Sus scrofa: one gene and its partners. The protein of the gene in region 1 purifies or fractionates together with the protein of each later gene. This does not show direct contact. Links are inferred from orthologs where the notes say so. Each region holds a gene or a part of one and is shown in the gene's direction. Other genes may lie near its edges. The genes, in order: STUB1, PPARG, PRMT5, PSMA3, NADSYN1, HSPBP1 and BAG2.

Region 1 (4,141 bases):
GGGCAGCAGGTCAGGGCACAGCTTCTGCCCTATAGCCCAGGTCCACAGGGCTGTCTCCACACGATGCGGGGTCCACAGCCCTGAGGCACTGCCTAAGGAGGGGCAACAGGGAGTCTGGGGCCCAGGTCACCCTGCTCTGCTGGGAAGCTCTGCACCCTCCACCCTGACCAGAGTCCTGAATGCCCTCCCTCGCTGCCAGCAGTCTCCTCACCATGGCTCAGAGCTGTGGCTCGCTCCTGCACCCGGCTCAGGTACAGCAGGTAGTGCTTGAGGGTGTACTGCAGGGCTGGCAGACCGGGCACCGCGGCCACTGCCTCCTCAGACATGAAAGCTGCCACCTCGGGAGCTCCGGCAGCCAAGACCGCTATGGGCAGCAAACAGCCAACACTCAGGCCCCACCAGCCTCAAGACACCTTCGGGGCTGCCATTCGCAACAGCTCTTGGTGTCATGAACGTGGCCATCAGGCGATGTCCCAGGCAAATGTACTAACAGACCAGGTTCCGCCCGCGACCCTGCCAGGGCGCCAGGCTCTCCCGACTAACCCGAGGCCGTGGCCGGGCCCACGCCCCGCAGGGCGCGTAATTCCGTGACCGCGGCGTGCATGTCTGGCAGGAGGGGGAAGGCGGCAGCCGAGTGCTGCACCACCAACTCCGGGGCGTTGGCGCTGACGAGCTGATGCAGGCGCGGCCTGAAGCGGCCCCGCTGGTCAAGTCGGGGTGGGGGTCACGGGTGCTGGACCTCGCTAGGGGCCCCGCCCCACAGCGCGAGGGCCCGCCCCCGGGCGAGCCACGCCCACGCCCACACCGCTACGCCCCGCCCCGGAAGGAGGCCCCGCCCCCCAAGTGGGAAGTTCCTCACAGCCAGCTTCCAAGCCAGCAGCTGCCCCAGCTCTTCTCGAGTCACGTGCTTCTCCTCCCGGCCCTCGATGGCTGCGGGCAACGCCTCTCGATACCTGGAGAAGAGCTGTGACGGCGACTCCGGGCCACGGGGGTCCCCCGCCCACCCGATGCCCCTATCACCCTACCATCGGTCCAGGGCTTCCAGCCGCCCCTGGGGGCCCGCGCGCGCTCGGAGCACTTCCCCGTGGCGGCCCAGGACGGCGGCCCAGAGGCTCGGGTCCTCACAGCCCCAAAGGCCGCGGGCCGCCGCCATGTCCACGCGCCGGGGCAGGGCTTCGGGGGCGGGGCGCCGGGGCGCCGGGGTGGGCTTCCGCCCCGACGACCTCGGCTCTCCTCAGGTTGCCGACGCCGCGCGTCGAGTCGCCGCGAGCGCACGCTCCCTGCCAACCCCGCCCCCGCGGCGCGTTGGGGGCACGCGAGGCCCCGCCCAACCGCACGGCCGGAAGTTCCGGTGGCAGAGCGCAGGACTGGGCCCGAGCGGATCGCGGGCTCGGGGTGCGGGCGCTGGGCGGGCCGGGCGCGGAGCCTGGGAGCGGAGCCCAGGCCGTGCCGCGCGGCGCCATGAAGGGCAAGGAGGAGAAGGAGAGCGGCGCGCGGCTGGGCGCCGGCGGCGGCAGCCCGGAGAAGAGCCCGAGCGCGCAGGAGCTAAAGGAGCAGGGCAACCGGCTCTTCGTGGGCCGCAAGTACCCGGAGGCGGCGGCCTGCTACGGCCGCGCCATCGTGAGTGCGCCCGGGCCGCGGGAGGGGGCAGGCGTCGGGGCCGGAGGAGGGGCCGGGCCGGGCCGCGGCTTCGGCCCCGCGTCCTCCCCGGAGCCCCTGTCTGGCCGCCCCTACCGGACTTTCGGAGGGGATGCACTTCGGCTCTGAGGACTGAGTGATCTTCTCTCAGAGAGGCCAAGGCTACGGCTCCCGAGCCAGGGTTGGTGGTCAGAGAACTGTGGCGGGTGGGAGCTTCAGGGTGCTTGCAGCCCACTGGGCTGGGGGTCCAAGCCCAAAGCTGGGGATTTTCAGGAGTCTGGGAAACCTGTCTTCGCAAGACTCGTTGGAGTCGAGGGGGCGGGCTCAGGTAGGCTCCACCCTTCCTCCGCGCCCAGAGACCTGGGTGCTGAGAAACCTCTAGTGTCTTGATTCCAGCCGTGGGTCTCAAGCTAGGACAGAAAGGGCAGGCTGAACTCACTCCCTCATGTTGGCTGGTCCGGCCTTGGTCCCCAGACCCGGAATCCCTTGGTGGCAGTGTATTACACCAACCGGGCACTGTGCTACCTGAAGATGCAGCAGCACGAGCAAGCCCTGGCTGACTGCCGGCGCGCCCTGGAACTGGACAGCCAGTCTGTGAAAGCACACTTCTTCCTGGGGCAGTGCCAGTTGGAGATGGAGAGCTATGATGAGGCTATTGCCAACCTGCAGCGAGGTGGGCTTGCTGGCTGGCCTGTTCCAGGGTGCCTGGGACCAGGCGGGGGGACTGGCTCGAGGGTTACCCGGATCCTTTGTTCCCCCAGCCTACAACCTGGCCAAGGAGCAGCGGCTCAATTTTGGGGATGACATCCCCAGTGCTTTGCGCATTGCCAAGAAGAAACGCTGGAACAGCATCGAGGAGCGGCGCATCCACCAGGAGAACGAGCTGCACTCTTACCTCACTCGACTCATTGTGGCTGAGCGTGAGAGGTGGGCTGTGGTGTTCATGGGCTCCACCCCACCTCCCAAAGTCACCATTCTTTTTTTCCTTGTTTTTTTGTTTTCGTGTCTTTTCGCCATTTCTAGGGCCCCTCCTGTATCATGTGAAGGTTCCCAGGCTAGGGGTCCAATCGGAGCTCTAGCCGCCGGCCTACGCCAGAGCCACAGCAATGCGGGATCCGAGCCGTTGTCTGCGACCTACACCAGTTCTTGACAACGTCGGATCGTTAACCCACTGAGCAAGGCCGAGGTTCAAACCTGCAATCTCATGGTTCCTAGTCGGATTCATTAACCACTGAGCCATGACGGGAACTCGCAAAAGTCACCATTCTGAGTCGTGAACATAAGCGTTTATTGAGGACCAGCCTGGGAAAGCAGGAGATGAGGGAACAGGGCCTGAATCGGCCCAAGGTGGAGTCTGATCTCCTCTGGCCAGACCCATCTCTGATCAGCTGTGTGGTCCACCCCAGGGAGCTGGAAGAGTGTCAGCGGAACCACGAGGGTGAAGAGGATGACGGCCACATCCGGGCCCAGCAGGCCTGCATCGAGGCCAAGCATGTGAGGGTGCCCTGCCCACGTGTGGGTCCTGTGTGTATTTGCACGTGTGTGATGTGAGGTGACCCTGGCTCCTGTTGGGTCTTTGTGGGCGGGGTGCCTGGGGAAAGGCGACAGGGGCTCAAGCTTCTCTGGAGCTGCCTGGTTTTTTGTAGGATAAGTACTTGGCAGACATGGATGAGCTCTTCTCCCAGGTGGATGAGAAGAGAAAGGTAAGCTGCCTGTTCCCTGGGCCCTGTGGGTAGCAGGAGCCAGGGCAGTGCCCCTTCCCGCTCCTGACCTGAGCTTGGGTGCTGCAGAAGCGAGACATCCCTGACTACCTGTGTGGCAAGATCAGCTTCGAGCTGATGCGGGAGCCGTGCATCACGCCCAGTGGCATCACCTATGACCGCAAGGACATTGAGGAGCACCTGCAGGTAAGGGTCCGTAGCCGCTGGGGGCAGGGCCCACACCCACTGGGCATCTTCTCATTCTGATCCTGTTGCCACTGCAGCGCGTGGGCCACTTTGACCCTGTGACTCGGAGCCCCCTGACCCAGGAACAGCTCATCCCCAACCTGGCCATGAAGGAGGTCATTGATGCGTTCATCTCGGAGAATGGCTGGGTGGAGGACTACTGAGGCAGGGCAAGTGGGTGGGCCCCTCACCCACCCTGCCCAGTATCCTGGCTTCTTGGGAGGGCCTTGGGGCAGCAGCCCCTAGCCTCTGTACATAGTTCGTGTCCCTGGATCCCCACCCTGGTATCCCCAGCCCCAGCCCCACCAGTTCTGCTGGGCCATGAGGCTCCCCCATCCTCCTGTGCCAGAAGCGGCAGGTGAGGGTGGGCCAGGCCGAGGTTGCTGCTGCCACCACTGTCCCTGTAATAAAATCTGTGAGCACTATGGGGGCGTGTGCTGGTGTGCAACGGCTTACCAGCCACCCCCTGGGTTAGCTGAGGAACGTAGAGATGAAGACGCTGATGTCAAGGTTGAGTGTGGCGTGCCACCATCGGTCAGGGAAATACAGCACCTAGT
Region 2 (4,156 bases), on another chromosome or scaffold:
CAGCATTTTCCTAATTACAAAACTGACCACAATTCCTCGCCAACCTATCAGTATAAATCCTTTTTTTTTTTTTCTGGTAATGCATTATTCCTGTCAGGGAGAACTCCACATTTTTCATTATGATCTGGAATTTATGCTTAAACATTAACCAATGTTCAGGCATCAGCTGATGCAGTATTGCTGCATATGCTATAATTGGATAAACTTCATAATTAAATTTTTGAAAGCAGACTCTGATATGTAAAATCTAAACTGTATCAAGCCCTCTCTATGTCCAGTCTCTCAACTCTTTAATTGTATGGCATTTAGATAGCTGTCAGTATCATTTTTTACATACTTTACAAAGTAGTAGAATAAATACCTTAGAACAGAATATTTCAGTAGCTGATAGCAAATTTTAAACTATGAACACATGCTTGAATTCAGAAGTCTTCTTCAGATATCAGATAATGGGCAGACAGAAAAAAAAAAAAACTGTGTGCAAGTTGGTTTATCCGGTATTTCTTTTTAAAGAAATTTTTAAATTATAGTTGATTTACAATGTTGTTCCAGTTTCTGCTGTACAGCAAAGTGACCCAGTCATACACCTATATACATTCTTATATTATCTTCCATCATGTTCTATCCTAAGAAATTGGATATAGTTGCTGTACAACAGGACCTCATTGCTTATCCATTTAAATGTAATAGTTTGCATCTTAACCCCAAACTCTCAGTCCATCCCACTCCCTTTGTCTATTTCATAACTCAGGGATGTAAACTTTTCAATTAAGAAGCAATTGTGAGTTCCTGCTGTGGCTCGGTGGGTTAAGAACCCAACTAGTATCCATGAGGATCCGGGTTCAATCCTTGGTCTCACTTAGTAGGTTAAGGATCCAGCATTGCTGTGGCTGTGGTGTAGGCTGGCAGCTGTAGCTCTGATTCGACCCCTATCCTTAGAACTTCCATATGCTGCAGGTACAGCCCTGAAAAGACACAAAAAAGAAGCAAGTGGATGTTGAGCAGTCTCTTTGAGAGTTCTGAACACTGCACTGCTTGTGCCCCTCACAAGACACTGAACATGTGGGTCACTGGCGAGACAGTGTGGCAATGTATTCCTTGTAATGTACCAAGTCTTGCCAAAGCAGTGAACAATATTATGACACAACGTTTTGTCACAGCTGGCCCCTAACAGGAGTGTGCCAGCCAGTTCAGCCCTGGTCCTGTGGGAGTTGATTCCCACCTCTCCAGTATTTGGAAACTGATGTCCTGACTCATTGGTGCCTTCACCAGTTCTACAACCAGGAATCTTTTCCCTTTAATGGATTGGCCTTTTGCAAGAAATAGACAAAATATCAGTGTGAATGACAGCAAACCCCTATTCCATGCTGTCATGGGTGAAACTCTGGGAGATTCTCTTATTGACCCAGAAAGCGATGCCTTCGACACGCTGTCTGCAAACATTTCACAAGGTAAAGTCGGTCCAGATACGGCTACTGGGCACTTCGGGTGTTTTGGAAGGGTACAGTTGTTCTTGTAGCTTGTTTTCCAAGTTTTATTTGTTCTGATTCTATGATGTGTATGTTTCAGTCTCTTGCTGCTCTGTGTTCACTTATGCGTATATTCAGATCTTTAAAAAAAGAAACCTAATCTAATCCCTATTTTATCTGGGCACATGACTCCTGTGTCCTGAATTTTAAGCAACCAAAGTATATATTTTAAAATTTTTATTCATTTTTATTTTCTGAGTTTGCATTTTCCCCAAAACACCTAAGGTCTTTTTTTTAGAATACCTGGGGGGTCACTTTTTTCCTTTTAGCTTTACATGTCACGTGTCTCTCAGCACAGTTTTTCTCTCTCTCCTGGGATTTATTCCTCTTAAAGTGTCTTAGCACGTTTTTGTTCTACTTTGAAATCTAGATAATTGCGTATGCCTTGTATCTCTCCCAAAGAATCATAACTTCCAGAGTGGAAGACCACATTGTATTTTCCTTGTATTTGTTAGGATTACAGAGCATAGCACCTTAGGCTTTGTAGAACAGAGTGCACGGACCTTGGCGAAGGCCTCTTCTAAGCATCTCATTTTACAGATGGAGAAAATGAGGCCCCAAAATGCCTGTGGCAGGCTAAATAAATGATTATTCCTTTTACTCAGATATAAAAGATTCAAACAGATAACCTCATTTTCAGCATATCTTTCTCGGCCATTGCAAAATTATATTCTTTATTTCTACAGCTCCTTCTACTGGAGTGTCTTAGCACAGCTGCTTCTGCTTTATACTGTTTCGCATTTGTTTCTGTATTTCCATTTTTTTTCTCTTCTCAAAGATGCCACATAAAAATAGATTGTGTTAACTAGTCTGATTCCTATTTTATACTTTAAGTGCTTAAGCGTTAAAATTAAGTTCCTTAATTATTGAAATGGATGGCTTTACATTTTAATGTTTTAATTTTTCTGGAAGCCTAAAGTTTGAACATATTAATCACAGATTTTTTAAATATCAAGATTTGAAAATTATGAAAAAATATTTCCTGAAATAGCATTTCATTTTATTATGATGACTAGACTCAATGCATATTTGTATGGGAGTTTTGTTTCATTGTATTATATAAAAGTCTATTATTCTGTTTTTCTACAAGTCTGCTTTCTCTAGTTATTAATTTAGGCTGCATCAGGGCAGAATGTCCTAACTATACTGTAAAATTATTCTTGAGTCAAGATTTAATAGTTTTGTCTGTTTGAAAGGAATATTGAGTCAAGATTTAATAGTTTTGTCTGTTTGAAAGGAATATGTCCAGAATGCAGTACAACCAATATTTTAAATTAACTCGGGGGGCAAGAACTGGTTATGGTAAGCAATAGTTATGTGTTTTAAGTTAGTTTTCATTCTGTACTAGTCTCTTTATTTTTATGCCTTGATTTTGCCCTGGGTTTAATTTTTTGAGTGTCAAATCCGCTTCAAAAGAATAACCCAGTACTTTTCTTTTTAATTAACCTGGTATAGAATAAAATCATTAGCAATCAAGAAGTTATTTGTTGGGGAGTTCCCATCGTGGTGCAGCGGAAACGAATCCAACTAGTTAAGGATTCGGTGTTGTGGAAACGAACCTGACTAGTATCCATGAGGATGAGGGGTTTGACTCCTGACTTCACTCAGTGGGTTACAGATCAGGGATCCAGTGTTGCCATGAGCTGTGGTGTAGGTCGCAGATGTGGCTTGGGTATGGTGTTACTGTGCCTGTGACATAAGTAGCTTATGTGGTTTGGATCCCAAGTTGCTGTGGCTATGGCGTAGGCTGGCAGTTCTGATTTGACCCCTAGCCTGGGATCAGTGCTTAAGCATTAAAATTAATTGCATATGCTGCAGGTGTGACCCTAAAAATAAAAAAGAAAGAAATTATATATTGTACCATTTAACTCTTACGTTATATGGTCTCTGATTTTTCCTTATTCATAAATGTTTTTCTGTTAAAAATATGAGTTTCTAAAGGCTAAAGACCTGTGATAGCTAATAACTCTCATGGTATTTTGTAGGCGACCACAAACTACTTATTCCACACTTGCCGAAACAGACAAACTTGAAAATAAATTGGGAATATATCCAGCATTAGCTAATTGAGGCCAGCAGAGATGCTGCACTGTAGAGATTAGGTACTTGGGTAGATCCAGGAATGCATTTGGTCCTCTTCCTTATCACAGGTGAAGGGGAATCAGGGTATAACAAGGGTCAGGGTGCTACTGCTGAAGACAGAGGGACTTGCTGAGTGTGAAAAATCCAGATGTCCAGCTACATTGGTCCTATTCATAAACATAAAAACTCTACTCTCTGTGGGCACTATGCCCACATTTTCCTGGTCTCCATTATCACAGTGACTCCCTTTTTCTTACCTTCCTTTCTGGTTTCATCATGAGCTTTTCAGGGAACCCCAAGTAACCCCAAAGCTGGCTCTGAAACCATTTCCACTAGTAAAAATTGGCACAATTGAAGGGAAGCTTCCATAAACTCAAGCTGAATACGCCTCTTGCTTTTCGTGCCAGAATTAATCCTGCGTGAATTCTCTAATTTTAAGTTGTTGCACCAGAGCATTGAAAGATGATGACACACTTGTCCTTTGCAGCGGATTGAGCAATGGAAGTATGCCTTAGAGACGTGATAAGTGCTGCAAGAGATGATTC
Region 3 (4,234 bases), on another chromosome or scaffold:
ACACAAGCACCTCCAACTCTTTTAGGCTTCATAGGCATTTTCGTAGTTCTCTGACTTTCTGACTTTCATCCTTTTGGGGCGCTTACAATGTATTCCCTTATAGCTTAGCCTATCCACACACATTCCGTGTTTCTCAGGACTCTGTCGTCCACTGCGGCGATCTCATTCGGTCTCCTGGCTTCAGTCACTATCTCTCTTCTGGCGATTTGCAAATCTTGTCTGGTTCAGATCACTGTTCATACAACTCTCTATTACACAGCGCCCCCTAGACGTCCAAGTCAGCATTTCCAAACCCCAGCCTCGATTCTCCCTAAACCAGCTTTTATCATTTGTCTCGCTCAAAGAGGCCAGAACTCTGGGCATCACCCCCAGACTTCCCTTTCTCAGACTCCCTGTCAGTCGGTCTCTAAATTCTGTCAAGGCCTCCTGCCTAGGGCCTTTTGTATTGATTCTCTTTTCCGTTCCCCGCTGCCAAGTCCGCAACACCTCTGGGCTTCCTGCCTTCAGGTATTTCTCCTGCCTAGATCTTTTTTTGCTTCATTCCTTTCCTTCTTTTCCATCCCTCTAGCAAGCATGGAAAAGAAAAATGTAGAGACTCTTTCCTGTCTCTGCCAGTCAATTCATAACTTCTCTCCACTGTAATCTCTCACCATGAATTCCTTTATCTTCAGTGGTGTGTGTGTTTCAGTGTTTGCTTTTTGTATTTGAGATACCGAATCACAAGGAATTTGTGGCTGAATTGCCACAATCTGTTTAAAAATATACTAAGGCCCATTCAAAATCCATTTTAAGAGCACCAGCCATTAACTCAGTTTTCTTGGTGCATTTGGATGCACCAAGGCAGGGACACAAGAACCATCTTTGAACTAGGTATTATTAAACGCTGGCATGAAATAGTTGCAGAATGCAATAACATTAAGACCTGAAAATGAGAGCGAGAGAGGACAGCGAAGAAATTTTAAAAGGGGGCATTAAAGCATTGCAGGGGATGCACCAAAAGCGTTAGCCCCACCGAGCCAGCCAGGAGTCGAACCTGGAATCTTCTGATCCGTAGTCAGACGCGTTATCCATTGCGCCACTGGCCCTGAGACGACTTCTTCGTTCTCAATGATGACACTTCAAGCTTATACTGCAGGGTTTCATGGGACGTGTAGTCTCTTACCGGAATTTTACCAGTACATGAAGCATTATGGGAGATCGAAGTTTGTCGAGAACCAGACCCTGAGATTGGTGACTCTTCCGGAGCCGTGCCCTACGTCACTGTGCAGCCTGCGGATTGGCAGGAAGAGCCACTTCCCACCCCTCCTCCACTTGCTCGGGACCCTGGGAGACGCTTTGGTTGTCAGGGAGACTCGTCCCGCCTTCCGGGGGCTTTTTTTCGGCTTTGTGATTGGCTGCCAGTGTCAGGGAATCTCGGCGTGGACTGCGCGAGGGAAAAGATGGCGGCGATGGCGGTCGGCGGTGCCGGTGGAAGCCGCGTGTCCAGCGGGAGGGACCTGAATTGCGTCCCCGAAATAGCTGACACACTGGGGGCTGTGGCCAAGCAGGGGTGAGGGCCTGGACTTCCGCGAACAGAATGCGGGGTCGGAACTCGGGGACTGAGAGGGGCAGACCAGTCATCCCTGGGAAGCAGGGGTGAGGGGGTCGGAGTGGATAAGATTAGGGTGGGAGAAACCGCTAGTCCATGTAGGGAGAAGCCTCCGGCCCTGGAGCGTAAGAGAAAGAGAAAGAAAGACATATTGGGAACGTGTGGTCCCTGAACCCCAAAGTCGAGAGAGTTATCAGGTAAACTCAAAAAGAGGGCGTACGACCTCAAGGGCCCTGGAGAGCGAGGTGCGAGGTTCTTGTCTCAGAGTGGGAGGAAGTGTTATGGGGCTAGGGAGAGGAGAGATGAACCTTGAGGGCTGAAGCCTGGGTAGTACTGGAGCAGATCTGGATATGACAGTCTTGGAAAATCAGTGACAACAGAGTAGAAAGTCCACGTGGCGTGGATTTTCATCTTTTCTCTTTTCTCATCTTTTCCATGGCTCTGTTCTGGGAAGAAATTGAGGCACAACGCAGTGGAAGTGATATTCCCTAAAATGGGCCGAATTCAGCAGCCCATTCGAGTGACTGACTAATGGCAGCTGAAAGGGTTGTGCAGAATGGAGATAGCCTAGTCCAATTGCTTGGATCGCTGGGCACTGCTACTCTCTTTACATGACGATTCTGGGTCTGTCGTGGTTGTAGGTTTGATTTCCTCTGCATGCCTGTCTTCCACCCGCGTTTCAAGAGGGAGTTCACTCAGGAACCTGCTAAGAATCGGCCGGGTCCCCAGACACGATCAGACCTACTGCTGTCAGGAAGGGGTAGGGACCATCCCACATGCCCCTTAATTATTAGAGGCAGTAACAACTTATGTTTTATCAGTGCCTTCTTCCTCTTCCTTTCTTGACCTGGATGTATTTGTTCAACCCTGGGATATGGATAACTCTTGTTCTCTCCTTGCTTACTGCTCAAAGCCTTAGTTTCCTATTCTGCATCAGGCTTTCCTGTATCTGTGATAGAAAAAGCCTTTTGTCTCTCATCTCTACTATTCCCTGTTAAGAAATAGAAATTGAATGCATAAAGTGCTGAACCTCACTCAGTCTTTGTCTTTCTTGGGTTGGGGAGTGCAGACTGGAATACACTAATTGTGGGCAAGCTTTCCCCATGGATTCGTCCAGACTCAAAAGTGGAGAAGATCCGCAGGAACTCTGAGGCGGTAAGACTGACATCTTCACCGAATCTTTCTAAAGATCAGATCTGTAAACAACCTGGATGGGGAGAACAGATTTTTCCCCTCCATAACTTAGTAAATCTGATGTAATGCACTTAAAGCTGTTTGAGGAGTTCCCCTTGTGGCTTAGTGGTTAATGAATCAAACTAGCATCCAGTGGGGGAAAAAACTGTAACTGCAATGTATACATCTAAGGATGACCTGACCCCCTTGCTGTACAGTGGGAAAATAAAAAAAAAAAAAAAAAAAAAAAACTAGCATCCATGAGGATGAGGACAAGGGTTCAGTCCCTGGCCTTGCTCAGCGGGTTAAGGATCCGGCATTGCCGTGAGCTGTGGTGTAGGTTGCAGACATGGCTCAGGTCCTGAGTTGCTGTGGCTGTGGCGTAGGCCGGCGGCTTCAGCTCTGATTGGACCCCCAGCCTGGAAACCTCCATATGCCGTGGGTGCAGCCCTAAAGAGACAAAAAAAAAAAAAAAAAAAAGGTTGTTTGAGTTGCTAGCTCTTAACTTTGCCTCTTGTTCTCCATTCTAGGCTATGTTACAGGAGCTGAATTTTGGGGCCTATTTGGGTCTTCCAGCTTTCCTGCTGCCCCTAAATCAGGAAGATAACACAAACTTGGCAAGAGTTTTGACTAATCACATCCACACTGGCCACCACTCCTCCATGGTATGGCTGAGGGCCTCCTTTCCTGCTGCACATTATGGTAGTCAGGCTGTGCTAAATATCTTCTTTTCCTAGCCATTCAGTAAAGGGTGCATTAGGCAGAATTTAAATGTCAGTCCTGCCTACCCACAACTAAAAGTGGTAAGCAGAGACTTATAAAATACATAGCATATTCTATTATCTCCAGAAACTTATAATAAAGTAAAAGACAGGGCAGATACTTACATAAGGATGTACACGAGATACGTGTGCACATACATAAAATCACAATTGGGAAAAGCATGTAAGGGGATTAAGTTGAAATCTAGATCAAGATCTTTTTATTTATTTATGTTTAAGCTTTTTTTTTTGTCTTTTCAGGGCTGCACCTGTGGCACATGGAGGTTCCCAGGCTAGGAGTCAAATCAGAGCTGTAGCTGCCGGCCTACACCATAGCCACAGCAACGCCACATCTGAGCCGTGTCTGCGACCTACACCACAGCTCATGGCAACATCAGGTCCTTAACCCACTGAGGGAGGCCAGGGATCAAACCCACAATCTTAGCTCTTAGTGGTTCTTAGTCGGATTCGTTTCCCCTGTGCCATGACAGGAACTCCTGGATCAAGATCTTTTTAATTGAAAGAAGCTTCTGGACCCAATGAGTTCAAAATAGAGTTCTAAATAGGGCAGAGAGGTGTTTTCTTGTGGCGCAGTGGGTTAAGAATCTGGTGTTGTCGCTGTTGCGGCTTGGGTTATTGCTGTGGTGGGGTTTGATCCCCAGCCTGGACACTTCCACATGCCAAGGGCACGGCCAAAAATAAATTAATTAAT
Region 4 (3,500 bases), on another chromosome or scaffold:
TCCTATTTGATCTACTCATTCTGCTGAAATACTAGTAGCTTTGTTATTTCTCAATGAGATGTGTTATATACAAACACAAGAACGACTGGTAAAAATATAACCAGTAAACTATAAAGCTACAGATAAGATAAAAATAATTTTTTTTTGCTTTATTTTCTGAAACTTTTCTCTCCTGAACAGATTTTATTATTGTAACCTAGCTGGCAGGAAACTAGTGAATCCTGCATTGTTTCATGTAGTAAAAACTTTAGGTAGGTGTATTTTGAAAAACAAAAAACAAAAACCATATAGCCTTGTAGGCACTTTAGTGATGGAAAAAATTTTTGTTCTAGAATTTTCAGATGTGTCCCACTTGTTATTTAAAGCCAGGAAATTGATGGCATTCCTTATAGCTGGGAATTGGCAAAACATGAGACATTGAGGAGGGCTGGAGAAAATGAAGGATAACGTTCTGTCTCCACAATTGTCATCAAGGAATTTGATAGATTATTAGACTTCACAGTAAGTTTTCTCTAAAGCAAGGGAAGATTTTTCAAATGGTAAAACTTAAACTAGCTGAATATACCTTGTGGAAGTTACTCTGAACACCAGTCTCCTCACCTCCAAAACTATGTTAGTAATAGTACCTCCCCTCGTGCATTATTATGTAAAATGCTGAGCGTGTAATGGGTGTTCAATATGTGTTAAAGATTTTCATAGTTATTACTATTACTTGGTAATATTAGAAAATAAGACTATTAAAAATTCTGACAGCATTTATTTTAAATTCTGCAAACCTTCTTTGCCAACTGATTGCCAGACTTTCTTGGTTCTTTATACCTGTAAGTATTTCAATAATTTTTTTTGTTTTGTTTTCATCGCTTCCCTAGACAAAATACCCAATGGTTCTGTTTATTATATATGCAGGTCCAAACAGCTAAGTGTTTATGTCCTAAAAACTTAGTAGCTGTAAGAAAAAACATACACATTTAGCAAAGAAAAATATTTTTATTTTTAAACAATCACAATTACTAATGTACAGTGTACAACTACTTAAAACTTTGAAACTGGATTAGATACTATGCCCCAGCCCCACTCCATTTCCTCTTCGGCATTGATTATTGCACAGTACTTATTTTATATCACAGCAACCCAACTTCTCTCAATGATACCATAGCTTTGAAAGGAGTACAGAATGCTCTAATGTTAAAACTGTGAACTACTTCAACAGATGTCTCCCTCAAACTTAAAATGTCCACAACTCTGAGTTCATTATAGTGCCCTGGGGTATCTCAGCACAAGGTTTGGTAATTGCAGTTCTAAGCCACTATTCTTGGAAAATTTGGGCTTTGTCATATTTTGGTTTGGCATTACAATTTAGTAGTCAGTTGGCTGAAAAAGAAGGAGACATAAAATTGTGCCTTTTAGATTAAAACTTTTAATAAACTTTGAATATAGAATACTTCAAATAAAGATCAGTCCTGACCAAAACTAGTGGTTTTATTCTCTTTGTTGTTTTATCCTTTTTTTTTTTTTTTTTTTTTTTTTTTATCTTTCTAGAGCTGCACCTCAGGCATATGGAGGTTACCAGGCTAGGGGTCCATTTGGAGCTTTGACCGCCAGCCTACACCAGAGCCACAGCAACACAGGATCTGAGCTGTGTCTGTGACCTACACCACAGCTTACAGCAGTGCCGGATCCTTAACCCACTGAGCAAGGCCAGGGATTGAACCTGTGTCCTCATGGATGCTCATCGGGTTTTTTAACCACTGAGCCACTATAGGAACTCCTGTTGTTTTACTCTTCATAATAAAGCTGTAAATGGGAAGACATGAAGGTTTTTTCTGAAGGTGATCACTGGACAAAACAGTGAAGTCACATTTAGTAAATTCCCAAATTATAATCCCATACTCAAGCATCAAAATGCCAAATGCCTTGTAAAGACCTTTAAAAGCCAAAAAAATTTATTCCAATAATGGTGCTTGTTAAAAAAACAAAAAAAATCAAATAAGCCTGTAATAATTACATACTTCCCGTGATTTGTGATAGATATGTTACCTACTGAATTGATAGTTGTTTTTTTTTTTTATTTTTTTATTTTCAGGCAGTAGCAGGTTTGTTGGCAGATGCTCGTTCTTTAGCAGACATTGCAAGAGAAGAGGCTTCCAACTTTAGGTCTAACTTTGGATATAACATTCCACTAAAAGTAAGTTGGTAACATGTTGAGGAGCCTTTTGAATAGTAAGAAAAGAGTATGAATACGTTCTTTTGTTTTTTCCCCCACAGCATCTTGCAGACAGAGTGGCCATGTATGTACATGCCTATACCCTCTACAGTGCTGTTAGACCTTTTGGCTGCAGGTATGAAATTTTGTGAGATATTCATTCATATCTGTACTGTAGTATCTGTTTTCCCAGCATGTTATTAGACTTTTTTACCCTTAAAAAATTAACTGTTGGAGTTCCCGTCGTGGCTCAGTGGAAACAAATCCGACTAGCATAAATGAGGATACCTTCAATCCCTGACCTTCTTAGTGGGTTAAGGATCCTGCATTGCTGTGGCTGTGGTGTAGGCCAGCAGCTGTAGCTCAGATTCAACCCCTAGCCTGGGAACCTCCATATGCTGTGGGTGTGGCCCTAAAAAGACAAAAAAAATCCCCCCAAAACAACTGTAATCAAGAAGTGTTAGGGCAATGATTAAATCAAATGTTGTATGTAAAAATTAAAACTTTGAAAAATGAAAGGCTATGCAGATTTGAACTGAGGATAAAACCTAACTCAGTAATATTTTAATCTGATTATAATAAATTCTTTGGAGGAAGGTGGTCAAAAGGTATATAAACTTGTAAAGTTTAAGGTAAATAAGTATGAGGGATGTAATGTACAACATGAGACTACAGTTAACACTGCTGCATGATAAAAAGGAAAATTTTTAAGAAAGTAGGTCCTTAGTTCTCATCACAAGGAGGAATTTTTTTTTAATTGTACCTGTATGAGATGATGGATGTTAACTAAACCTGTTGTAATCATTTCACAATGTGTATAAATCATCATGATGTTCACCTTAAACTTATAAAGTGACTGTTGTCAATTATTTCTCAGTAAAATTAGGGAAAAAATTCTCTGGAACTAGACCCAGAAATTTTCAGTAAATTGCAAATGGATTTTAAATGTATTCCATGTGGTCATTATTAACTAGGCAACTATAGTGACACTTCAGTTTTCTCATTAATATCTCTCTGATATACTTTTATCTTTTTATTTTTTCAGCTGCACTTACTTATTTAGTTTTTTTGTACAGTGATCATCACAATCCAGTTTCACAGGATTTCTATCCCACAACCCAACCACATCCCCCCACCCCCCAAACTGTCTCCTCTGGAGACCATAAGTTTTTCAAAGTCTGTGAGTCAGCATCTGTTCTGCAAAGAAGTTCAGTCTGTCCTTTTTTCAGATTCCACATGTCAGTGAAAGCATTTGATGTTGGTGTCTCATTGTACAGCTGACTTCACTTAGCATGAT
Region 5 (3,500 bases), on another chromosome or scaffold:
GCGGGTTCCATCCCTGGCCTCGCTCAGGGGGTTAAGGATCCTGTGTTGCCATGAGCTATGGTGTAGGTCACAGATGCGGCTCGGATCTGGCGTGGCTGTGGCTGTGGTGTGGGCTGGCAGCTGCAGCTCCGATTCGACCCCTAGCCTGGGAAGTTCCATGTGCCACACTGTGGCCCTAAAAAGACAAAAAGACCAAAAAAAAAAAAACCCCACCCCAGACGTGTGGCTTCCACTTGCAGACCAGCGTGTGTGCGCCTCTCTCCGCAGGCCCGTGATGCACCGCAATGTCCGGTACAACTGCAGGGTGATATTCCTCAACAGGTAGGTGACCCCGGCAGCAGAGTGACCTGCCTGCCCCTCCCAGGCTCAGGGCACGGCCCCGGGGGCCCGAGGGCTGGGAGGCGTCTTCTGGAGACACCTTGGTCGGGGCTGGTGTTCCAGGCAGGTGACTCAAGGGGCACCGCCTCTCCTGGTCTCTGCCACAGCTGACACCTGCAGGTATTCAAGGCCATAGGGTGGGGTTTGGGGACCACAGCCCTGTTACCGGGAGGTCAGTCCAGGGAGGGCGGCCTTCTCATGTCCCCTCGTGGTCCCTAAACATCTGCTGCCCACACATGCCCCGCTGCCAGGTCTTAGGGGCTCTGCCCCCCGTTGACAGTCCGGGTGGATGGCCCTGGGGCTGCTCCTTGTCACAGGGCGTGTTCGTCTCAGGAGTGACCTTGTCCCCCTGCTGTAGGAAGATCCTGCTCATTAGACCCAAGATGGCCTTGGCCAATGAGGGCAACTACCGGGAGCTGCGCTGGTTTACCCCGTGGTCCAGGAGTCGGTGAGTCTGCCCGACGCGCGGGGGCCTGGGTTGTGGCCGCCCCGTCGGTGTGCATGGAGCGTCTTTCCGTGTTTAGCTTGTGCAGGTCGAGGGGGACACAGCCCAGAATTCGGGGCAAAGTCCCTGCCCTGGAGTACTGTCATTTAGACGGGGCTGATTTGATGCTGCGGATGAATTCGCAGCCAGTTTATCAGCTGCAGCTCAAGGTCACCCATCAGCGCTCATCAGTCGTCCTGCATCGGACCCTGTGTATCAGGGTTTCTCGACTCCAGCCCTGTGGCTTGGGGGCCGGATCTTTCTTGTCGGGGTGGAAGGGGCGTCCTCGGCACACCGAGGTGTGCAGCGGTTCCCCTGGCCTACCTCGGCGAGGTACCTGTGTCCATTGGTGACAATTTAAAATGTCACCAGACATTGCCAAGTGTCCCCTGGGGACAGCGCTGTCCCTGGTTGCTGTATATTCTTCTCACAGTTATTTCTGTTTATTCACGGTTGCTGCTGTTGCAAAAGGAACCTTTAACATGATATTTTAAGTGGTTAATATTCTTTTTTTTTTTTTTTTTTTTTTGTCTTTTTGTCTTTTGTTGTTGTTGCTATTTCTTGGGCCGCTCCCGCGGCATATGGAGGTTCCCAGGCTAGGGGTCCAGTCGGAGCTGTAGCCACCGGCCTACACCAGAGCCACAGCAACTCGGGATCCGAGCCGCGTCTGCGACTTACACCACAGCTCACGGCAATGCCGGATCCTTAACCCACTGAGCAAGGGCAGGGATCGAACCCGCAACCTCATGGTTCCTAGTCGGATTCGTTAACCACTGAACCACGACGGGAACTCCTAAGTGGTTAATATTCTTATGCAGGAAGAGCTTAGGATTGTGTGTGTTGCTTTTGCCATTGGCCGCCTTCCTATAGTCTAACCTGGTCGTTATTCTACTGATTTCCTGGGTTCTCTTTGTTTCTCTCCAAGTAGAAGTTATATAACATGTAACTACCTTTGCTTCTTTCCAATACTTCCATCTCTCAGTCCGTTTTCAAAGCAGCGCTTGCTGGCCAGCACCTCTAGAACAATATCCTAGCTCATTTCTGGAGCAGATGTCTTGTCTGTTCCCCGACTTGACTCGGGGAGCTCTGCCTGTTTCTGCCTTTGGTTTGGCGTTCGTATCCATCCTTTATTAGTTTCGCTTTGGGGCCTTAAAATTAATGGCAAATGGATGTTGCACTGATCAGACGTCTTTTCAGCCTGTGTTGAGCTGAACGTAACGTCTTTGCATGTCTCCATGGACGCCAAACGGATGTGATGGATTAAGCTTTGATTCCATGTGTTCGTATTTACTCAGAATTTCTTTCTCTTTTCTAGATTCAGACGCCAGTATTATGTTAGTTAAAAATTTTAAAAAAAAATTTTTTTCTGTGCCCGGATGGCTTTAAATGTATGAATGGTATATTATCAAGTCATCGTATGGCTGAAATTCTCTGTATTGTTAGGAGTGTTGTGTCAAATCGTGTTTTTTAAGTGAGGTAGATAACATGCAATGAAATATGCAGATTTTAGGTGCTTTCTTTTTGTTTTTTTCTTTTCATTTTCTTTCCTTCTTCCTCCCTTCCTTCCTTTTTTCTTTCTTTTTCCTTTTTTGCCACGCCTCAGCATTTGGAGTTCCGGCACCAGGGATCAGATCAGGCCACAGTTGTGACCCACACCACAGCTGCAGCAACGCCAGAGCCTTAACCCACTGCACTGGGCCGGGGGTTGAACCTGCATCCCCGAGGCCCAGAGATGCCACTGACCCCTCGTGCCACAGTGGGAGCTCCTGGGTGCTTTCTTTTTGACAGTCGTGTGCCTTGGAGCAGTCACACCATATAGAAGCTAAAGCCATTTCCGCGGCGCCACAGCTCTTGCCAGCTGAGCCCCAAGGCTCGTCTTGTCCTGTCTTAGATGTCATGCAAACGGAGTGACACCTGTACGTTTTCTCATAACTGACTTCTTTTGCTCACCATGATGCTTTTGAGAGTCACGCAATGATTCATTCCTTTATATAGTACAAACCGTCGGCTCTTTTATATAATAACATGGTTTCATAAGTCAGAAATAATCCTGTGAGCAGATGACAAAAAACAAACAGACTCTCCTCGTCTGCCCCCGTCTCCGAGCCCTGCTCCCTGAAGCTGTCTCCGTCTCCTTTCCCATTTTTCTCCCTTCCCCGCATAACCTCTGCATTCTGCCTCAGTATTTCTAACTAAATGTGCAGACATTGCCATTTCCTGGTTTCCTGCTCTGGGAGGCCAGGGTTTGGCGCACTTTCAAGCGCTCGCTGTTAGTTTTTCTGCATCTCCTCTTCCTAAGACGGACATTTCACAGTTTTCTGGGTTTCTTAAAAAATGAAAATCCATCTGGGTCAGGTGGAAGACCCCCTTGGCTTTATGCAGTGGTTCAGGAGCCGGGCAGCCTCCCACCGTAAAGGGAAGGGCACCCCGACGGGTGTACGGGATGCAGAAGGAGGGCAGGACAAGAACAAGGGCAGGAGGGGAGGGACGGGTGGTTCAGGCGACCCTCTTCTTTGGGGGGGAGGACAGTAGCGTCTACATCACGCTGACCCCACCTCCCCAGTGTCATCAGGGAGTGTCACAGTGACTGTTCAAAGCTGACGTTTCTTGGAGGGGTTGAAACGGCAGCTGAGTCCTG
Region 6 (3,500 bases), on another chromosome or scaffold:
GCGTTGCCGTGAGCTGTGGCGTAGGTCGCAGACTCGGCTTGGATCTCAGCTTGGATGTCTCATTGCTGTGGCTCTGGTGTAGGCTGGCAGCTGCAGCTCCGATTCAACCCCTAGCCTGGGAACCTCCATATGCTGGGGGAGTGGCCCAAGAAATGGCAAAAAGACAAAAAAAAAAAAAAATTTTATTGCAGTATGGTTGATTTACAGTGGCTGTTGTTGGTGATGACTGTTATTCATGAATTAATTATTGGTAAAGTTTGCCTCTTTCTTCCACCTCACTCCCCAGAGGCGCCAGTGGCTGCAGGAGGCCATGTCGGCCGCCTTCCGGGGCCAGCGAGAGGAGGTGGAGCAGATGAAGAACTGCCTCCGGGTGCTGTCCCAGCCCACACCCTCCTCAGCTGGTGAAGCTGAACTGGCTGCTGACCAGCAGGAGCGTGAGGGGGCCCTGGAGCTGCTGGCCGACCTGTGTGAGAACATGGACAACGCTGCAGGTACAGCCAGCCCACCTCGGCCTGCCTCTGGCTGCCAGGGTCCTGCCTCTTCTGCCTCCTGGCTTCCCTCTGCAGCCCAGCCCTTGTCCTTTGGCTCAGGGACCTCTGGCTCAGCCTCCTCCCCAGCCTCCCAGCCTCCAGCCTCACCCTTGCCGTCTGGCTCCGATTCAGGCCCCCGGTGGGACTCCCTGTCCCTCCCTGCTCGGTTCACTTGCCGTCAGGAGCATTGATGGCTGCAGGTTCAGTCCACCACCTCACCGATGCTCTCTGAAACTGGCCACGTCGCCCTCCTCTGCTGGGAGTCCATGGCCACTTCAGAGTAAGCCACAGGAAGTGTTCCTTGATGGGGGAGCCAGAGAGGCCCTCCCCGAGGGTGACACTTGGTTAGAGACCTAAAGCGAGGGCTCAAGTCATGGAATTAGCTCTGGAAAAGGCATTCCAGGAAGAGGGCACGGCCTGTGCCAAGGCCCTGCGGTGGGAACGCACCCGACATGTTCGGGAACAGCAGTGAGGCCAGCACAGCAGAGTGGAGGCCAGGAAGTGACACCAGGCACACCTGGCCTCATGGGCCAAGGTGGTGCTGTGGCTCTTACTCTCGGTGCCGAGAAGCTGACTGATGGACGAGTCGTCACTTCCACTTGGAGGGGCGTCGGTGTGGTTGTCGAGGATCTGGGTTTATCTGTCCTGGACATTGACGGATGAGGGGTCGTAGAAGGCATGACCTTTTGCAGCTGCCTTCCTTCCCTGAGGGTGATGTTTTCAAGGTTCTTCCACGTTGTGACTGGTATCAGAACTTTATTCCTTTCTGTGGTTAAGGCTGCGTGTCATGGATCCATTCATCAGCTGATGGGTATTTGGGGCAGCTACCCCTGGGTTATTGCACATGATGCGGCTGTGAACACTGGCGTGCAGGTGCCCAGTGGAGTTCCTGCTTTCACCGCTTTGGGAGATAACTAGGTGTCTTCGCTGATGACTTTCTGAGGAAGCGCCAAGCTCGCCAATAGGAAAACAGCCGGTGGGCTGTAGTTTGCAGATCACTGGTTTGGCGTGTGCTTCTCCCACAGGGCATGTCCTGGTGGTCACAGAGACGGGGTGTCCGGGCTGGCATTGAGGGGGCCGGAGCCTGGGAGCCCTGACCCTCCAAATGCTGACATCGTCGAGACACACTGTCCTTGGAGAGAGCCAGCCCTCGGAGGCAGGCTCCCCTTTGCCCTAAGAAAGCACCGCGGATTGGGGCTGAAACAGCAGAAGTCTACTTTCTCATAGTTCCGAGGCTGGAAGCCTGAGCATTGGTGTCTTCTGAGGCCCTTCCGGGCTCGTAGACGGCGCTCTTCTCACTGTATCCTCTTGTGGTTCCTCCTCCGTGGGTGTCTGTGTCCTGATCTCTTCTTATGAGGACACCAGTCATATTGGACCGGCGCCCCATCCTGTGACATCATTTCGCCTTAATCGCCTCCTTAATGGCCTGTCCCCAAATACAGTACTTCCTAGGACCCTGGGGGTTAGGACTTCAGTGGAAAGTTGGGGGTGGGCACAGCTCAGCCCGTCACACCTGTCTGCTCCCCTCTCTCCCACACAGACTTCTGCCAGCTATCTGGCATGCACCTGCTGGTAGGCCGCTACCTGGAGGCGGGCCCCGCGGGGCTGCGGTGGCGGGCGGCACAACTCATCGGCACATGCAGCCAGAACGTGGCGGCCATCCAGGAGCAGGTGCTGGGCCTCGGTGCCCTGCGCAAGCTGCTGCGCCTGCTGGATCGGGACCCCTGCGACTCGGTGCGCGTCAAGGCCCTCTTCGCCATCTCCTGTGAGTGTCCTGGGGCCGGGCTGGCAGGGTGGGGCCTGGGTCCACAGGGCAGGCGCCAGCCCTCCGATCTGCTTCAGGGCAGAGGGAGGGGGGCCTCATTTGTTGTTTATTCCCAGCACCTGTCGGGTCTCTGCTTGGTGCTGGGAACAGAGCTGTGCACTTGCCACCCGCTGCACTGGTCAGAGAGCCAGATCCTGGCGACACAGGACAAGGGCCCGCTCGAGTGCTTTTGGGCCCCCTCAGGGCTCTCAGCCAAAGTCCTGTTGCCATCTGGGACCTGATCACCCCCGTCATTGTGGAGGGGGCTCTCCAGGGGGCTGCTTGAGTGTCCTCACAACGTGTTAGCGGGCTTCTCCCAGAGCGTGCCAGCCAGGGTGCCAGGCAGGAGCTCCGAGAACTACAGTGCCTTTTATCTTTTTTTTTTTTTTGGTACCAACCCCTCTCTTGCCCCTTCCTCTCCCCTCTCCTTGCTGGTAACCTCTAGTTTGTTCTCTGCGTCTGTGAGTCTATTTCATTTTTGTTGTATTCAGTAGTTTGTCTTATTTTTTTAGATTTCAGAGCTAAGTCATTAACCTCAGTATCTGTCTTTTTCTGTCTGATTTATTTCATTTAGTGTAACAACTCCCAGGTCCATCCATGTTGTTGCAAATGACACAATTTCATTTTTTCTTCCTTGTGGCTGAGGCCTTTTATCTTTTTGAAAGTTGATGTTGGAGTTCCCCTTGGGGCTCAGGGGGCTAAGAACCTGACATGGTGTCCGTGAGGATGTGGGTTTGATCCCTGGCCTCGCTCAGTGGGTTAGGGATCTGGCGTGGTGATGGCTGTGGCAGCCTCTGGTGCCCAGGGCGGCCCCTGTGACACAGAATGATGTGGCGCCACCTGTCAGCTTTGCCAGGTGGCGAGGCCCTGTGTGAAGGGAAGGGTTGCTCCTGGACACATCATGACGGCGGAGCCAGCGATGGAGAGGCTTAGTCATGTCTACCCCTCCTCATAGGCTGGTACTTTTTTTTTCTTTTTTTTTTTTGTTAATTGGATGACATTTTATTTAACCCCTTATATTTAAATTATTGTCATTTCAGCCCCTCATTATGTGGAGTGCTAACGAGATACCTTGCATTTCTTTTTCCCCACGCTTTGTCCTTTTTTTTTTTGAGGGCCACACCTGCAGCATATGGAGGTGCCCAGGGTAGGGGTCAAATTGGAGC
Region 7 (4,248 bases), on another chromosome or scaffold:
TTTTTTTTGGATCCTTGGTGTCCTACCAGCCCAGCCCTTTGTCCTATTTCTTACCCGCCTGCTGGCCTGGCTCTCCTCTCTGACATCGCTGGGGAACAAGACACGGGTTTGTTCTGGGCTCCCTTGGCAAGTGCAGCTCTGATACTCAGCAGGCTGGGGCTCAATTTAAAGAGCATCATTTTTTTCTTTTCAATTTCTTTCAAATCATTTATTTGTTCACCCACTCACAAAGTATTCTTGGCTACTTACCATGTGTTCGCCACTGTTCTCGGCACTTGAGATCCCCCCCCAACACACACACACACAAAGCCCCCACTCTGGAGCACTCGGGGAGGGGGTTGGATAGAACCTCGAATGATAAGATAGTGAAACAGGGAAGGGGGGAGAGCATGGGGCTGGGCAGGGGGAGGCAGTTATTTCCAACAGGGTGGTCGGGAAGGACCCTGACCAGGTGAAGCTCAGGAGACCTGAAGGTGGGCGAGCTCTAGGAAGAGGGTGAAAAGGTCTAGAAGAGCAGGATGAGCTCAGAGGGCAATGCAAGGTGGCATCCTTAGAGACCTTTTCTGAAGACCCTGGAAAGGAGGAGCCCTGAAGGTTTCTGAGAGTAAGTGGTGTGACCTGCTGTACTTGGACTGCTGTGGGGCTGTGTTGAGTGCAAACAGCTGAGAGCAGAAGCAGGGGTGCAAGTGGGAGGGCAGGCCACTGGTCCAGGAGGGAAGGCAGGCTGGGTGCACCCTGAAGGGGAGGGGACTGGGTCTCTGGCATGAGAGTCCAGGGTGATGCTGAAGTCACCTGATAGACTTCCATTCTCCAAAAGTGGAAGGATTCTTTGTTCGTGTCATGATATGAGAGAATATACTTAATGATGTCAAATATTCCCCTCCAGCAACAATTCATCGACATGGAGTCTAAGTTCAGAAAAATTGCCATCCAGCCTTAAGGGCTTCATCTCTGTTCACTTATTTACATGGCTTTGATCTCAGATTAAAGGTTGTGATCCAGCTTTAAAGTGTTATTATCTCCACTTGAAGTGCCCTGTACCTTCTCATTCTTGCAGCGTGAAGCAGCGAGCTCCCCACAACATTCACTCCACTTGTACTGACCTTCATGGTGTCTGACCTCGTGGCCTACGGCATCTTTTCCTAACAGGAGATTTAAATAAGTTGGGTGTGAAAGGGTCTTAACCATTTCACTTAAATTCCAGCAAATAACTTTTGAACAGAAGAAAGTCATTGAAAATAAAGGAAGTTCACCTTCCTACGTCCCGCTGGGTGGTAAGAGGGGCGCCTTTTCTCGCGCGCTCTATTAGCCTCGTTCTCATCTCCGGAGAGGGCCTGGTGGCCAGGCAGGTCGGGCGACACGGCCCCGGCGGCCCGGCTCTGCGCGCGGGAGGCGGGAGGGCGGGCTGGGCTGGGCCGGGCCGGGCCGGGGGCGCGGGCTCCGCCCTGGGGGCGGTGTTCCAGGCGAAGAGCGGGCCCGACGCCACGTGAGCCGCCCCGCAGGCCGCCCGGCTTCCTCCTACCGCCCGCGCGCGGTCAGCCAGCGCCCCGCGCCCCTGGGTTCCCCTGGCGTCTGGAGCCCCGGTTCCCTGGCCCCCAGTCGTCCGGACCCCAGTCCTTGCTCGACCACCCGCGCCCCCCGACCCCCAGTCCCCTGGCCCCCAGTCCCCACCCAGACCGCGGATCCCCAGCCCGGGCGCGGGCGGCGCGTCAGAGAGAGGCGTGCGGCGCGGTGACGGCGGTGACCTCGGGCCTCCGGGCGCAGATGGCTCAGGCGAGGATCAGCGCCAAGGCCAACGAGGGCCGCTTCTGCCGCTCCTCGTCCATGGCCGACCGCTCCAGCCGCCTGCTGGAGAGCCTGGACCAGCTGGAGCTCAGGTGTGCGGGGCGGCGGGCGGATCCGGGCGCGGTCGGACCCCGGCCCTGGGGCACTCGCTAGCCTGTCCGTCCGGCGGTCCCTTGGCCCCGCGTCCCGGCGGCCGCGCTCTTGCCTGCGCGGGAGCGGGGGAAGCCGAGGAGGTGAAGGGTAGGGACGCCGCTGGCGGTTGGGGCTGGGCTGACACCGCGGGTCCGCGGAGCTTCCAGAACCTTCTGCACGCCAGGGGTTCGGTCGGGTCTCCCTGAGATGCTCTTTCTGAACGGGTGGCGGTCTAATGGTCCCAAGGTCAGTGATCCATTCTTTTGCTTCCAACACTTAAGAGCAATATCTCAGAATAAAGCTTCGGGGCCCCATCGGATCCCAAGGCGGGGCGGGGCGAGGGCACTTGTGGGGCGCCCGCCCGGTCCCCTCTGCGTTTTTCCCGGCGCCGGGCTCCCCCCACCAAGAGCCGCTCCCACCTTCCAAGTGCAGTTTGCTGGCCCGAAACCACAGGGGTCACCTGTTTCCACTCTTAGCTGATTCAGGTTTTAATAAGGAATCAACGTGTGGCTTGAAATAAAGCCGCGTGAGGGGGCCCGAGCTGCGCTGTTGGGGGGCGTGCTGAGCACCTGGGGGTGTGGGGGGGCCTCTAGCGCCGCCCCGGCCCCACGGAGGGGACTTGAGGGCGGGGTAGATGGGCGAGCGCACGTTTTGATAGAAGGTCGCTGCTGGTCGGGAGAGCAGATGTGTCCTCAATGGTTTTAGTGCTTTTCTGCGTGTGGGAAGATGCAAGAATCTGGGTTCATTAAATTTTCCTGAAAATCTCTCTCTGTGGGCCTGTTCCGCCAGTTTTCCCAGAGCGCAGAGCCTCCTCATTCCTGCTCGTCTGAATTCTTTCCAGGCTGTGCTGTCAGTTCCTGTAGAACCGGGTGGCCAGGGACTCTCCTAGCGGCAGATGGGGTGGTAGGCTCCTTGGGATGCCTAAAGCCTATGCAAGAAGTTTTGGACCTACTTTTCTCTTTCCACAATGTATGAAAACGTTGATGTACTTCTCGTAAAGGTTCAGGTCACAAAAGCTACTGTATAAATTGTGTGCAAGTGTAGTTTTATGAAAATCTTAACTGGGGCACCCACAACTCCCTTAAACCTCCGCATTTTTTTCCATAGTTTGCACCAGGTTCTGGATGAGCAAAGGAGTAGGTAAGGTAGACATTTCAAGAATTGCCTTTACCTCCCTTGATTAATACACCAAAACGGGAGGGGTCTTATGACTCATAAAGTACACTAATAACCAAATGAGGCATTTCTTCATTATTTATCATGATTAACTGAATGAGGCATTTATTATTTATCAATTAGCATTAAGCAAGTGAGGCCTATATTAATCATTTTAAAATTTAGTATTTATCATTTGAAATTTGTTATTGATGATGATGGCAAGAAACAATGTCTTCTCGGAAAATAAATTCAGAATGTATACCTGTATGTGTGATTGGGTCATCTTGCTGTACAGTAGAAAATTGACGGAACACTGTAAACCAGCTATAATGGAAGAAATATCATTATAAATGAAAAAAAAAAAAAGAAAATAAATTCTCCACCATCATGATTTTGTGGGTAGTAATGGAAACCAGAACCCAGACTGGTTCTGGGGTCCTGCTGGGAATGACACAGATGGAATAAGGGGAGAGCAGTGCTTCCCGTGGCTGGACCTGCTGAAGCCAGTGCTCCTGAATGTCGTGTGTTGTCCCCTTTCCAACCCCCGCCCCGGCAGACTGCCTTTTCTTTTTTCATCGCATCGCAAAGGGGTCTTGTCATCTTCCCGGGCTTTAGAACTTGGAGGGGCATGTTCTCAACCATTTCTGGGGTCTCCCCACCCCCACACCCCATCAGAAAGGAAGGGTTTCTTCTTCAGGGACCGTGGGGGATGTTGCCCCCGCCTCCTTCTTCAAGCTTGAGTGGTGGTCCTCAGACTTGAACTAGTGCCTCACGTACGAAAGCAGCCAAGTGCTCGTCTTTACCAGGAAGGCTTTGGTTTTGAATATTGTGTTCCAGCGATTGATGTGAAGCGAATTCTGATTACTGAGTACAAGCAATTAAATTGTATTTTGCCGAATTAACTCTTGAACTGAGGAGGAAAGGCTGATTAATGTGTGTCTAGTTGTTCATTTTAAGGACCTTCCCAGTAATTGTAGACTTTTGCGAGCTTTATTTCTTGCTTTTAGAAAAAGTAACGCTGAGTGAAAACTTAGGAAGCATTTGGGAAGGTGGGTAAAAACAGGAGTTTTTGAAACCATGTGAGCCATGGAGAGTGGAGTGCACTCTCAGAACCTAGAATCCTACCTAGAAGATCAAGTGGAAGAAGAATGCATGATTTTCCCAGGTCATTTT

What was found.
Region 2: the proteins of STUB1 (region 1) and PPARG purify together in Homo sapiens (affinity purification with western blotting; 3 studies listed by BioGRID). This does not show direct contact. The link is inferred for Sus scrofa from reciprocal best matches to the Homo sapiens genes STUB1 and PPARG.
Region 3: the proteins of STUB1 (region 1) and PRMT5 purify together in Homo sapiens (affinity purification with western blotting; 3 studies listed by BioGRID and IntAct, with this or other methods). This does not show direct contact. The link is inferred for Sus scrofa from reciprocal best matches to the Homo sapiens genes STUB1 and PRMT5.
Region 4: the proteins of STUB1 (region 1) and PSMA3 purify together in Homo sapiens (affinity purification with western blotting; 3 studies listed by BioGRID, with this or other methods). This does not show direct contact. The link is inferred for Sus scrofa from reciprocal best matches to the Homo sapiens genes STUB1 and PSMA3.
Region 5: the proteins of STUB1 (region 1) and NADSYN1 purify together in Homo sapiens (co-immunoprecipitation; 3 studies listed by BioGRID and IntAct, with this or other methods). This does not show direct contact. The link is inferred for Sus scrofa from reciprocal best matches to the Homo sapiens genes STUB1 and NADSYN1.
Region 6: the proteins of STUB1 (region 1) and HSPBP1 purify together in Homo sapiens (affinity purification with western blotting; 4 studies listed by BioGRID and IntAct, with this or other methods). This does not show direct contact. The link is inferred for Sus scrofa from reciprocal best matches to the Homo sapiens genes STUB1 and HSPBP1.
Region 7: the proteins of STUB1 (region 1) and BAG2 purify together in Homo sapiens (affinity purification with mass spectrometry; 7 studies listed by BioGRID and IntAct, with this or other methods). This does not show direct contact. The link is inferred for Sus scrofa from reciprocal best matches to the Homo sapiens genes STUB1 and BAG2.

Annotation. Positions count from the first base shown.
Region 1 is NC_010445.4:41,092,382-41,096,522, reverse strand, and holds STUB1 (E3 ubiquitin-protein ligase CHIP), read left to right. Parts: upstream 1-1,341; 5' UTR 1,342-1,461; coding exon 1,462-1,620; intron 1,621-2,112; coding exon 2,113-2,311; intron 2,312-2,399; coding exon 2,400-2,565; intron 2,566-2,902; exon of another isoform or gene 2,903-3,044; coding exon 3,045-3,132; intron 3,133-3,284; coding exon 3,285-3,341; intron 3,342-3,428; coding exon 3,429-3,545; intron 3,546-3,622; coding exon 3,623-3,748; 3' UTR 3,749-4,009; downstream 4,010-4,141. Other genes in the region: uncharacterized protein LOC100524737, read right to left, coding at 1-92, 212-364, 544-703, 860-953, 1,026-1,153; JMJD8 (jmjC domain-containing protein 8), read right to left, coding at 4,056-4,136. UniProt on the Homo sapiens protein: E3 ubiquitin-protein ligase which targets misfolded chaperone substrates towards proteasomal degradation.
Region 2 is NC_010455.5:68,362,645-68,366,800, forward strand, and holds the start of PPARG (peroxisome proliferator-activated receptor gamma), read left to right. Parts: upstream 1-1,356; 5' UTR 1,357-1,372; coding exon 1,373-1,451; intron 1,452-4,098; exon of another isoform or gene 4,099-4,156. UniProt on the Homo sapiens protein: Nuclear receptor that binds peroxisome proliferators such as hypolipidemic drugs and fatty acids.
Region 3 is NC_010449.5:76,109,571-76,113,804, forward strand, and holds the start of PRMT5 (protein arginine N-methyltransferase 5), read left to right. Parts: upstream 1-1,434; 5' UTR 1,435-1,439; coding exon 1,440-1,549; exon of another isoform or gene 1,550-1,785; intron 1,786-2,229; coding exon 2,230-2,348; intron 2,349-2,657; coding exon 2,658-2,743; intron 2,744-3,291; coding exon 3,292-3,426; intron 3,427-4,234. UniProt on the Homo sapiens protein: Arginine methyltransferase that can both catalyze the formation of omega-N monomethylarginine (MMA) and symmetrical dimethylarginine (sDMA), with a preference for the formation of MMA.
Region 4 is NC_010443.5:187,355,731-187,359,230, forward strand, and holds part of PSMA3 (proteasome subunit alpha type-3), read left to right. Parts: intron 1-2,083; coding exon 2,084-2,185; intron 2,186-2,265; coding exon 2,266-2,339; intron 2,340-3,500. UniProt on the Homo sapiens protein: Component of the 20S core proteasome complex involved in the proteolytic degradation of most intracellular proteins. This complex plays numerous essential roles within the cell by associating with different regulatory particles.
Region 5 is NC_010444.4:2,362,357-2,365,856, reverse strand, and holds part of NADSYN1 (glutamine-dependent NAD(+) synthetase), read left to right. Parts: intron 1-267; coding exon 268-321; intron 322-736; coding exon 737-826; intron 827-3,500. UniProt on the Homo sapiens protein: Catalyzes the final step of the nicotinamide adenine dinucleotide (NAD) de novo synthesis pathway, the ATP-dependent amidation of deamido-NAD using L-glutamine as a nitrogen source.
Region 6 is NC_010448.4:59,458,034-59,461,533, reverse strand, and holds part of HSPBP1 (hsp70-binding protein 1), read left to right. Parts: intron 1-286; coding exon 287-491; intron 492-2,070; coding exon 2,071-2,295; intron 2,296-3,500. UniProt on the Homo sapiens protein: Inhibits HSPA1A chaperone activity by changing the conformation of the ATP-binding domain of HSPA1A and interfering with ATP binding. Interferes with ubiquitination mediated by STUB1 and inhibits chaperone-assisted degradation of immature CFTR.
Region 7 is NC_010449.5:28,677,698-28,681,945, reverse strand, and holds the start of BAG2 (BAG family molecular chaperone regulator 2), read left to right. Parts: upstream 1-1,448; 5' UTR 1,449-1,764; coding exon 1,765-1,877; intron 1,878-2,014; exon of another isoform or gene 2,015-2,152; coding exon of another isoform or gene 2,153-2,163; intron 2,164-4,248. UniProt on the Homo sapiens protein: Co-chaperone for HSP70 and HSC70 chaperone proteins. Acts as a nucleotide-exchange factor (NEF) promoting the release of ADP from the HSP70 and HSC70 proteins thereby triggering client/substrate protein release.